2 linked regions of the Drosophila melanogaster genome follow. The protein of the gene in region 2 interacts with the protein of the main gene of each other region in a pairwise test. Each region holds a gene or a part of one and is shown on either strand. Other genes may lie near its edges.

Region 1 (3,925 bases), on a different chromosome or scaffold from region 2:
TCACACTTGCAAACTCGGCCAAAGTGGTGCCAAATCAAAGATAATCTTAACATCAACGACTTAGTCATTATAAAGGATGATAATCTACCACCAGCTAAATGGACTATAGGCCGAGTCGTCGAACTGCACCCTGGATCGGACTCGCTAGTCAGAGTGGTTACATTAAAGACGAAATCTGGCATTCAAAAGAGGTCAATCACAAAGCTTTGTCCACTTCCGATTTCAACATAATTATGATCAACACACGGATCAAGAATCACAAGGAGCCTTCATGCTGGACGACGCATTGGCGGGCGGCATGTACGGATTATGAGCGGAGTCACCCGGTGCTTCAGCTGTCTTAACAGCGGATTAACATTTTATATATCGATGCTAATTGAACTGAACTGTATTCTTTCTTTCGCTCTTGTAATTTTGCGGTCATAGCGATCAGACGTGATTTTTGTATATGAAAAAATAAATGAAGTTAAATAGTGTATATATGATTCTTATTTGCGAACCCCATTACAATGATGTCAAAGCAGTGAGGCATCACAACTATTCACGAGGTACTCAGAATTCAATCGTTTTCTCTTAAGCGACTGTTTTTAAATGTGTGAAACGAAAAGAAATATTCTGAATATTTTATAACAATTAATAATGTGTACTTCCAGCAAGTGCTCTCAAACGAAATTTTTGAAAATAACTTTATTTTGAATTGAATGATCATAAGTAGGATGTATTTTTGATAGGCAACATCTAGGGTTAGCTTTCTCATTAAGTAATACCAGTTTAGGCACACGCCTGAACAGCGGACTCGGCCTCCTTGGGCTCCGGCGAGCCCAACTTTATGCGCTTGCACTGCCTCTCCTCCGGCTCCTCATCGCTAAAGCCTTCCGGTGGAGCGACGTTCAAAGAGTCTGAGTCAGGGAGCTCCTTATCGTCGCTCGATACTGTCAGCGCTCTAATGGGTAGCTCCTGCTCATAGAGATCCAACAGCTTATTGCCTTCGTACAGGACAAACGGCAAGGTGGCTCGCTGATAGTAGTCCGGCATCAGCTCCAAGTTGTTGATCACCGTGTCCAGCATGTGGGACTTCTCGCACCATATGCCCGGTGCATCGTTCCGTACTGGATTGATGTGCACGTGGAGGTGATAGAAGGACGGCTGGTAATGAAAGTACATGCGCAGCTGATTGGGATTAATGCCGTATAGCTTGGCAATTGCGTCCTTCGACGCTTGGCGCACGTTGCGCAAAAGATCGAGATGACTTTCATTCAAGTCGCGCAGAGACTTGATGTCGCGCTTGTGGACAATTCCCAGCAGATAGAGGGTTTCCACATTGCGTCCGTCCCATTTGAGATCGGGCAGAAGGATAAAGCCAGTCTTTGGATCCCTGTCCTCGTACACGATACGTTCCGTCTCCTGCTTATGCTCGAGTATGTTGTAGACCCACTCGAGGGAGAATTGACTTGAGGTGAGATATGGAAGAGTTATTCTTTGGTAGAGATCAGGAGTCTCCCGGATGAGATACTTTTGAGATACTGAGTATTTCTCGATGTGCTTCTCGGTGGCGGGATAAATGACTGTGCTTTTCACACCTGCGAAATGAATGATAAAAATCTATGATTTATCAGTATGAATTATGAATCTAATATTTACTGCACAAATCCTGGGTCGGCACAACCTGAAAACTGCCGTAGATATTGTTGATAAACTCAGTGTCAACTTTCAGGTCCGCGGTAAAATAGCTAGGCTTCTTGGGAGACTCTTCTGATGACGCCGTGGCCACATCGCTTTCCCGGTACGCTGCGGTTAGTAAGGATTATACTGTAGCGAACATTAGTTGCTTTCATTTACGCTTTTATACCATTTTTCTCGAAAACAACAATGGCATCATCGGTTCCTAAATCCGGAAAAGTGCCAAGCAGGGATATACTTTTCCTAACGCTGTTGTTGGTTAGGATTCGCTTCAGTTGGAACTTGGATAAGTCGTACGACGGCGACTTTACCTCTGTGCTATCAACTGTTTCCGACATTTTTGTTAATAATAACAACAATAATAATAGCTAGAAAGATATATTTATTTTTATTTTCTTGCGGCTTTTCAGAGAGGCAGCGTGACCATGACTGGGCTGCACGAAAATTCCATACTCATTTCGTAAGTCCATTTAGCGAGCACTCAAACCCTGTTAAATAACATTGCTGAAACGGTTTAGCAACCGGTTGAGTTGAAAAAATGTTAAAATTAGATACACTAGATGCAGCAAATTAATACAGTCAAAACATCGTTGTTGAATTCTCATTTATTGTGTATAGGCCATTGAAGTACTGTTAATGATCTTTAGAATATGTATCTTTACAAACGGCTACAACACTAAGTGCTCGCCAATCATGTTCAGAACATTCGCAATTATTTTGAGCTTAACACTAACATACAATTTGCACTTACACCTGCAGCCGATGTAAACAAAAGTATGGATATTAAAATTGGTTTTACCCGCCGCCTGCCACGCTAACTACACAACTACTCCCTTCGAGGGCTTGGCGCCTAGTATGTCCGACAGCTTCTGCTGATAGGAAGCGAGGAGATTGGCGTCGGTTATGCCGAAGGACTTGCAGGACAACTGCAAGGCATTGAGCAGCTGCATTTCCGAGAACTGAGTGCCCCGCTCCAGCAACGCATTGAGTATTTCCTGTGGGTAAGTGCAAAGTGTTTCTAAGTAAAAAGGTGAATTACAAAACTTGGGCCAATCACTCTTACGTCTGGCTCCATGCAAAGCAGCTCATAGAAGTGTCTCGCCTGATCCAAAGCCACTTCCCTGGAGGCAGTTATGTTACTCAATGTTTGCTGCAGGGCAATCGCGTTCCTGCACATGCGCTGCACGGTTATTTGATCTATGTGCTCCAGATAATTGGAGGCCTGGATAAGAATGCGCGATGCCAAGTGCGCCAGACCCTCGAAAATGTACTAGAGAAGAATACGTTCGAGCAAAATGCAACTGGAGACGAATATTCAACTTACCCTGGTCTTCCTCGGATGTAGAGTGGCACTAAACGCCTCATCCATCTCAGACAGTCGTTTGGTCAGAACTTGCACCTGGCGGTCGGGCTCCAAGATATCATCCTTGGAGCCCACATAGCTGTTGGTCCTTACACTCGACTTCGAGCGCAGATAGTGGAAGCATTGAACGCGCACCTCCAGATGCAATACCAGCAGGCAGGTGTTCGCCAGCTCATCAAACTCCAAAGCCAGATTAGTCATCACTTTGATCGTCCCATCCTTCACAGCAATGTCGGCGCCGCACTCAGCTGGAACGGCGTTAAGTCCGTTTACCAACGGCCGGCGTAAGTCGTTGGCAAATTCCGACACTCGGCACGAAAACCACTCCATGCTCTCCTGCAGTATGGCCAGCTCCTTAAGCACACTGATCTCGACCAAAATCTCTTGTTGGGTGATCCCACCCTCGCCTAAATTACTGGTCAGCATTTCAGCCTCGCGGATGTTGCGCTGCTGAACCTGCAACGGGCTCTCCTCCTCCGACGGCTCAAAGCTTCCGCGATGCAGTTTTCGGTTGTGGCGCGACTTCTGACTGTAGGTCTTTAAATCAGTCCAGTTGGGAAGCGTTCTAAATAGTGAAGAAACTATAAATTCATGTAGCTTTTATACCTTTATACTTACTTTAAAAACCTGCTGATATCTTCATCTTTAAGCCATGCCACGCTGTAAATTCTCTTATCCTCTGAATCTGGCTGCACGATTCCGCGATAGGCCGCCTGACATATTTCCCGATAGGCCTTCAACAACGCGCACACCATTTTAAGCAGGTCTTCGGAGTAGCAGGGCAAGTCTTGAATGAGGTTCTTAGTTTCCATCAACCTCCGTTCGACCATCACAGTAGACTGCAGCAACGGCCTGCTTAGATTAAGAGCCTTTATTTCCTCA
Region 2 (3,925 bases):
AGTGAAGATATGCTAGTGATTGATGGTCCAGATACGTAGGGTTAATGTAAAACGCATAATGCATTTAGAATATAATGTTAATCCCTTCTATGTTGATCAAATCGAATGTTGTATTCCGAAAACCATTTCACTTAAGGTGCTTAAAAGTATGATAAAACCTAAAACAAGTTCTAAAGTCTTGTGTATAAAGCACATATTTAAAAGGACTCAATATTTAAGGGATATCCGCCTTAAAAATCTCAGCTAAGCGTTTGAAACACTTTTATTATATAGTATGCTACGATTTACGTACGGTTTCAATATTTAAGGGATATCAAATCGGCCTTAAAAAGTATCTCTCTTCAATTTTCAACACTTCTATTATAGGTGCTAAAAAGTATGCTATGACTAAATACAGTCTTGTGGATAAAGTGCAGTATTCTAAAAATATCATTTTTAAGAATTGACCGTTTTTAAGTTCTATCAAATCTGATGGAGTAACAATTTACGATTATGATCACAATAGGTTTGATGTAGAAAAGCTCACTTTGTTGCCGGATTCATGTGGTAGACGCGCTGCGGCACCTCCTTGGTGACGAAGTAGCTGGGCGTCTTCTCCATGGTGATCTGGCCCTCGATAGTGTACGGCATGTGGTGGCGGTACCAGCGTAGTCCCCGCTGGTAGTGCCTGTCGAAGAAGTGCACCTCCGAACCGGCGGCCCGCACGTCCGGATGCAGGCGGATGAACTCGAGCAGCGCCCGCGTCCCGCTCTTCTTCACGCCAATGATGAGCGTGTCGGGCAGGTGGCGCGATGGTCGGAGCCCCTGCTGACGGAGCAGCTGATACTTGGGCGCCCCATCCAGGCTGCTAGTAACCGTCTGTGCCGGCGGAGCACCGGTGGTGGATGAGCTGTTCCTGCTGCTGCTGCTGTTGCTGCTGCTGCTGTTGGCGGCGTTATTGGTCTCGTTGCGGGGCGAGGAGGTCAGCGCCAGTAGATTGCGTAAGTTGCTCTGCGCGGGAGAGGTCAGAGGTCAATGCCACACATCGTGCGAAACATATCAACATATTGGCTTATGAAAATGCCCAACTTGTAAGTATGCCGAAAAGTATGCAACTATAAATGTACATATATATAATCGTATATATGTATGTAGATAGCATCGCAAAGTTCAGCGAAAGACAAAACTTAAACTTTTCACAGCACACTTTTGGACAGCTTGTTAAATGTTTTGAAACCGCTGGGGATTATTACAACCCCCCCCCCCCCCCTAATTTTGAGTTGGCTCCACTTTACACATGTGTGTAGCGAAACTTTATATTCGATTTTCCAATTATCAGTTTGTTTTCATGAATAAATGCATTGGATATTGGATACATTTAGCCCCTACACTTAGACATTGTCCAGTGATTCGTGGACATATTCACCTGCTGCAGACTGCGACTGATGCTGGCCAGGAGGCAGGCATTGAAGCTGTAGGAGAAGTAGACCAGAGTCACGCAGATCACCAGGGCGATGGCCAGGCTGCGGCTGCTCAGGCTGAGGCTGCTGCACCAGATGCTCATCACAATCATGGCTGGCTGGGCGCTAGTGGCTGCCGTGTCTCGCATCTGGCGGTATAATCGGTTCCGAGCGCTCCGTCAAATTCCATTGCCACTCAGTCGCCCCGGAGCACTGCCTGCAGCATCCGGATTCCGATTGTGATTTGCAATCGCAGCAGCGGCTGGCGGCTACCGCCAACGCGAAGTCAACTGAAGGAATGGGGCTGTTCGCAACGCTGGAGCTGCTGGTAGTTGCTGGTGGTTGCTGCTGCTGTTAGGTGGCTGGTGGGTGGTTGGTGTGGTTGGGGTGGTGCTGGCGCTACGAGTTCGGCCTGCAAGTGCCGGAGCTGTCGTCGCAGCCGAGTTGCGGAAGTGAAAGCCAGGGATAAGGCAGGGCCAAGACATTGGGGTGCCCTGCCAGCGGATAAGCGCTGCCTGGGCCGCCGGTTCGGCTCCGTTTGTGCAGGATGACAGGATGGGTGGGGGAAGCGGCCGTGTCATGGTTGCGCCTGGGAAGCGCACAGGCGCATTGGACACATCCTCTCTCGTCTCGGGACGCTTATGCAACTGAGCGTTTTGCTTGCTCTCTCGCCAGCTCGTCGAATCGCCGTTGGTGTGACGTCGCAAATGTACACTGCCCGAAAGAAGTGCCAAGTCTTGAATGTAGCAGATAATTAATGTAGTGACAGCTTGCTATCACATCATGTCTTTAAGAAAGAAAGCAGACATATATAGTTAAATCAAAAGATACTAAAATCTGAAGAATTTCCGCTTTGTGAGGGTTTGACGAAATCTTTGCTTTCTACACAAATCAAATCTTAATAAATAAGTATTTCACTTAAGTTAGTAATTAATTTCCAAGTCTGATAAAGTTATATTTATATTAAGCAATAATAATAGACATTATTGATTTGTTAATTTCTAACTTCACAACGAATACATGATAAAATGTACTCCAAAAACGCAATCGTTAAGTAGTATTTCTAATATTTTTTATTATTTCTAAAAATGTATATATGTATATAGTTTGTTATGTAGGCTGGGAATGCCATCTTAATATTTATTCGACCATAATCTTTTCGTATACGGCCTTTTATTTTCTTACTTCCTGTCGCAACTCTCTCTCTCTCTCTTTTTTGCTCTCGGCTTCAATCAATTTTCCGCTCAAAGGTAAACAAACTAACCAAGAACTTACCCCCACCCACTTTGGCAACCAACCACCCACCCACAACCCAACCACCCCATTTGCGTCTGATAAAGTACTTGCTGGCATTTAATATTGGATTGAAATCAATTTACCAAGCATTATCGCCGGACGTTCTATTGCCCGTACTCCTATCACCATTAGCCATTTGAGATTAGTTTTAAGCCCTATCGTTGGAATGGCCCAATGGCCTTTGCCACATTGTTTTCTTATGCATATGAAAGGCCAAAAAATTGTACGTTTCCGTGGCAGCGTGGTAAATAGTAGGGGCCCTCAGTTGGGCCAACTGCCAAGGAGCTTATCAACCGGCGGACATCTGTTTATCTGTCCAAGTGGCTTATTCCACTGCGGCATTAGTCACTCACTTTGGGATACACTGGCGAAAAAAGCGCCAGGAAATTCGATCATATAAATTGGGGTAAAAATATTTACATAAAATGGGAAATATAGTACTTCGAGTAATGCCATAGATAGATACTTGCTCAAAAAAAGATACATTCAGGTACAAAAAAAAACATTGATCTATAACCAACGAATTTCTCCACAAGATGCGCAACATAATCGGATTTCCTTTTGACTATCATAATTCATGAACCCGAGCGGAGAAATGGCTAGATAATCCCAAACCCTCAACTTTTCCGCCCGTGTATCCATGGCCACCACACACATGCACCTGGTCGGGTCGGGTTGGCTTATCTTATCGCCTTATCTGCGCCGCCTTCGTCGCAGTCGAATTCTCCGCCGGACTTCCACCGGCCCATTTGCCATTTGTCCGGCGTCGCATCGTAGGCATCTCCATTCCAGCTGCTCGCTAAAATGCTCTAAGCTCCTTCGATAGACGAACCTTCCTCTCCCTGCTGCTGGACTAACTAACGCAAATCTATCGCAAAAATGTCGAATGTGTGGGGCAAACTGGTGCTGAAGTTCTTTAAATATGCGCCCAGCTATGTGGGTGAGTTAGCCACGCCAATGGAGATCCTTGTCCAGAGATTACGTCTCATTCACTTCCAGTCTGCCTGTGCTTCCTGCCCTGCGGCATGATCTTTGGCTATACGATCTGCGCCTTTGTTGCGGAGCGGAACCTCAACGCTGGACTCATTCACTATGGACCATTGATTCTGGGCGCCTGCTGGGCGTTGATCACTGCCCTGGCCATGCTGACGGTCAAGTTCGTGAAGAAGTGCATCGTCTACTGGCAGCCA

The links.
Region 1: the proteins of Hs3st-B (region 2) and Dcps interact in a two-hybrid assay, tested with the Drosophila melanogaster proteins (one large-scale study listed by BioGRID).

The regions. Positions count from the first base shown.
Region 1 is NT_033777.3:5,752,660-5,756,584, forward strand, and holds Dcps (decapping enzyme, scavenger), read right to left. Parts: upstream 2,116-3,925; 5' UTR 2,019-2,115; coding exon 1,850-2,018; intron 1,789-1,849; coding exon 1,642-1,788; intron 1,581-1,641; coding exon 772-1,580; 3' UTR 659-771; downstream 1-658. Other genes in the region: Sec8 (secretory 8), read right to left, coding at 2,499-2,675, 2,744-2,950, 3,005-3,608, 3,662-3,925.
Region 2 is NC_004354.4:19,246,804-19,250,728, reverse strand, and holds the start of Hs3st-B (heparan sulfate 3-O sulfotransferase-B), read right to left. Parts: upstream 2,091-3,925; 5' UTR 1,589-2,090; coding exon 1,406-1,588; intron 991-1,405; coding exon 527-990; intron 1-526. Other genes in the region: CG7992 (uncharacterized protein), read left to right, coding at 3,615-3,675, 3,735-3,925.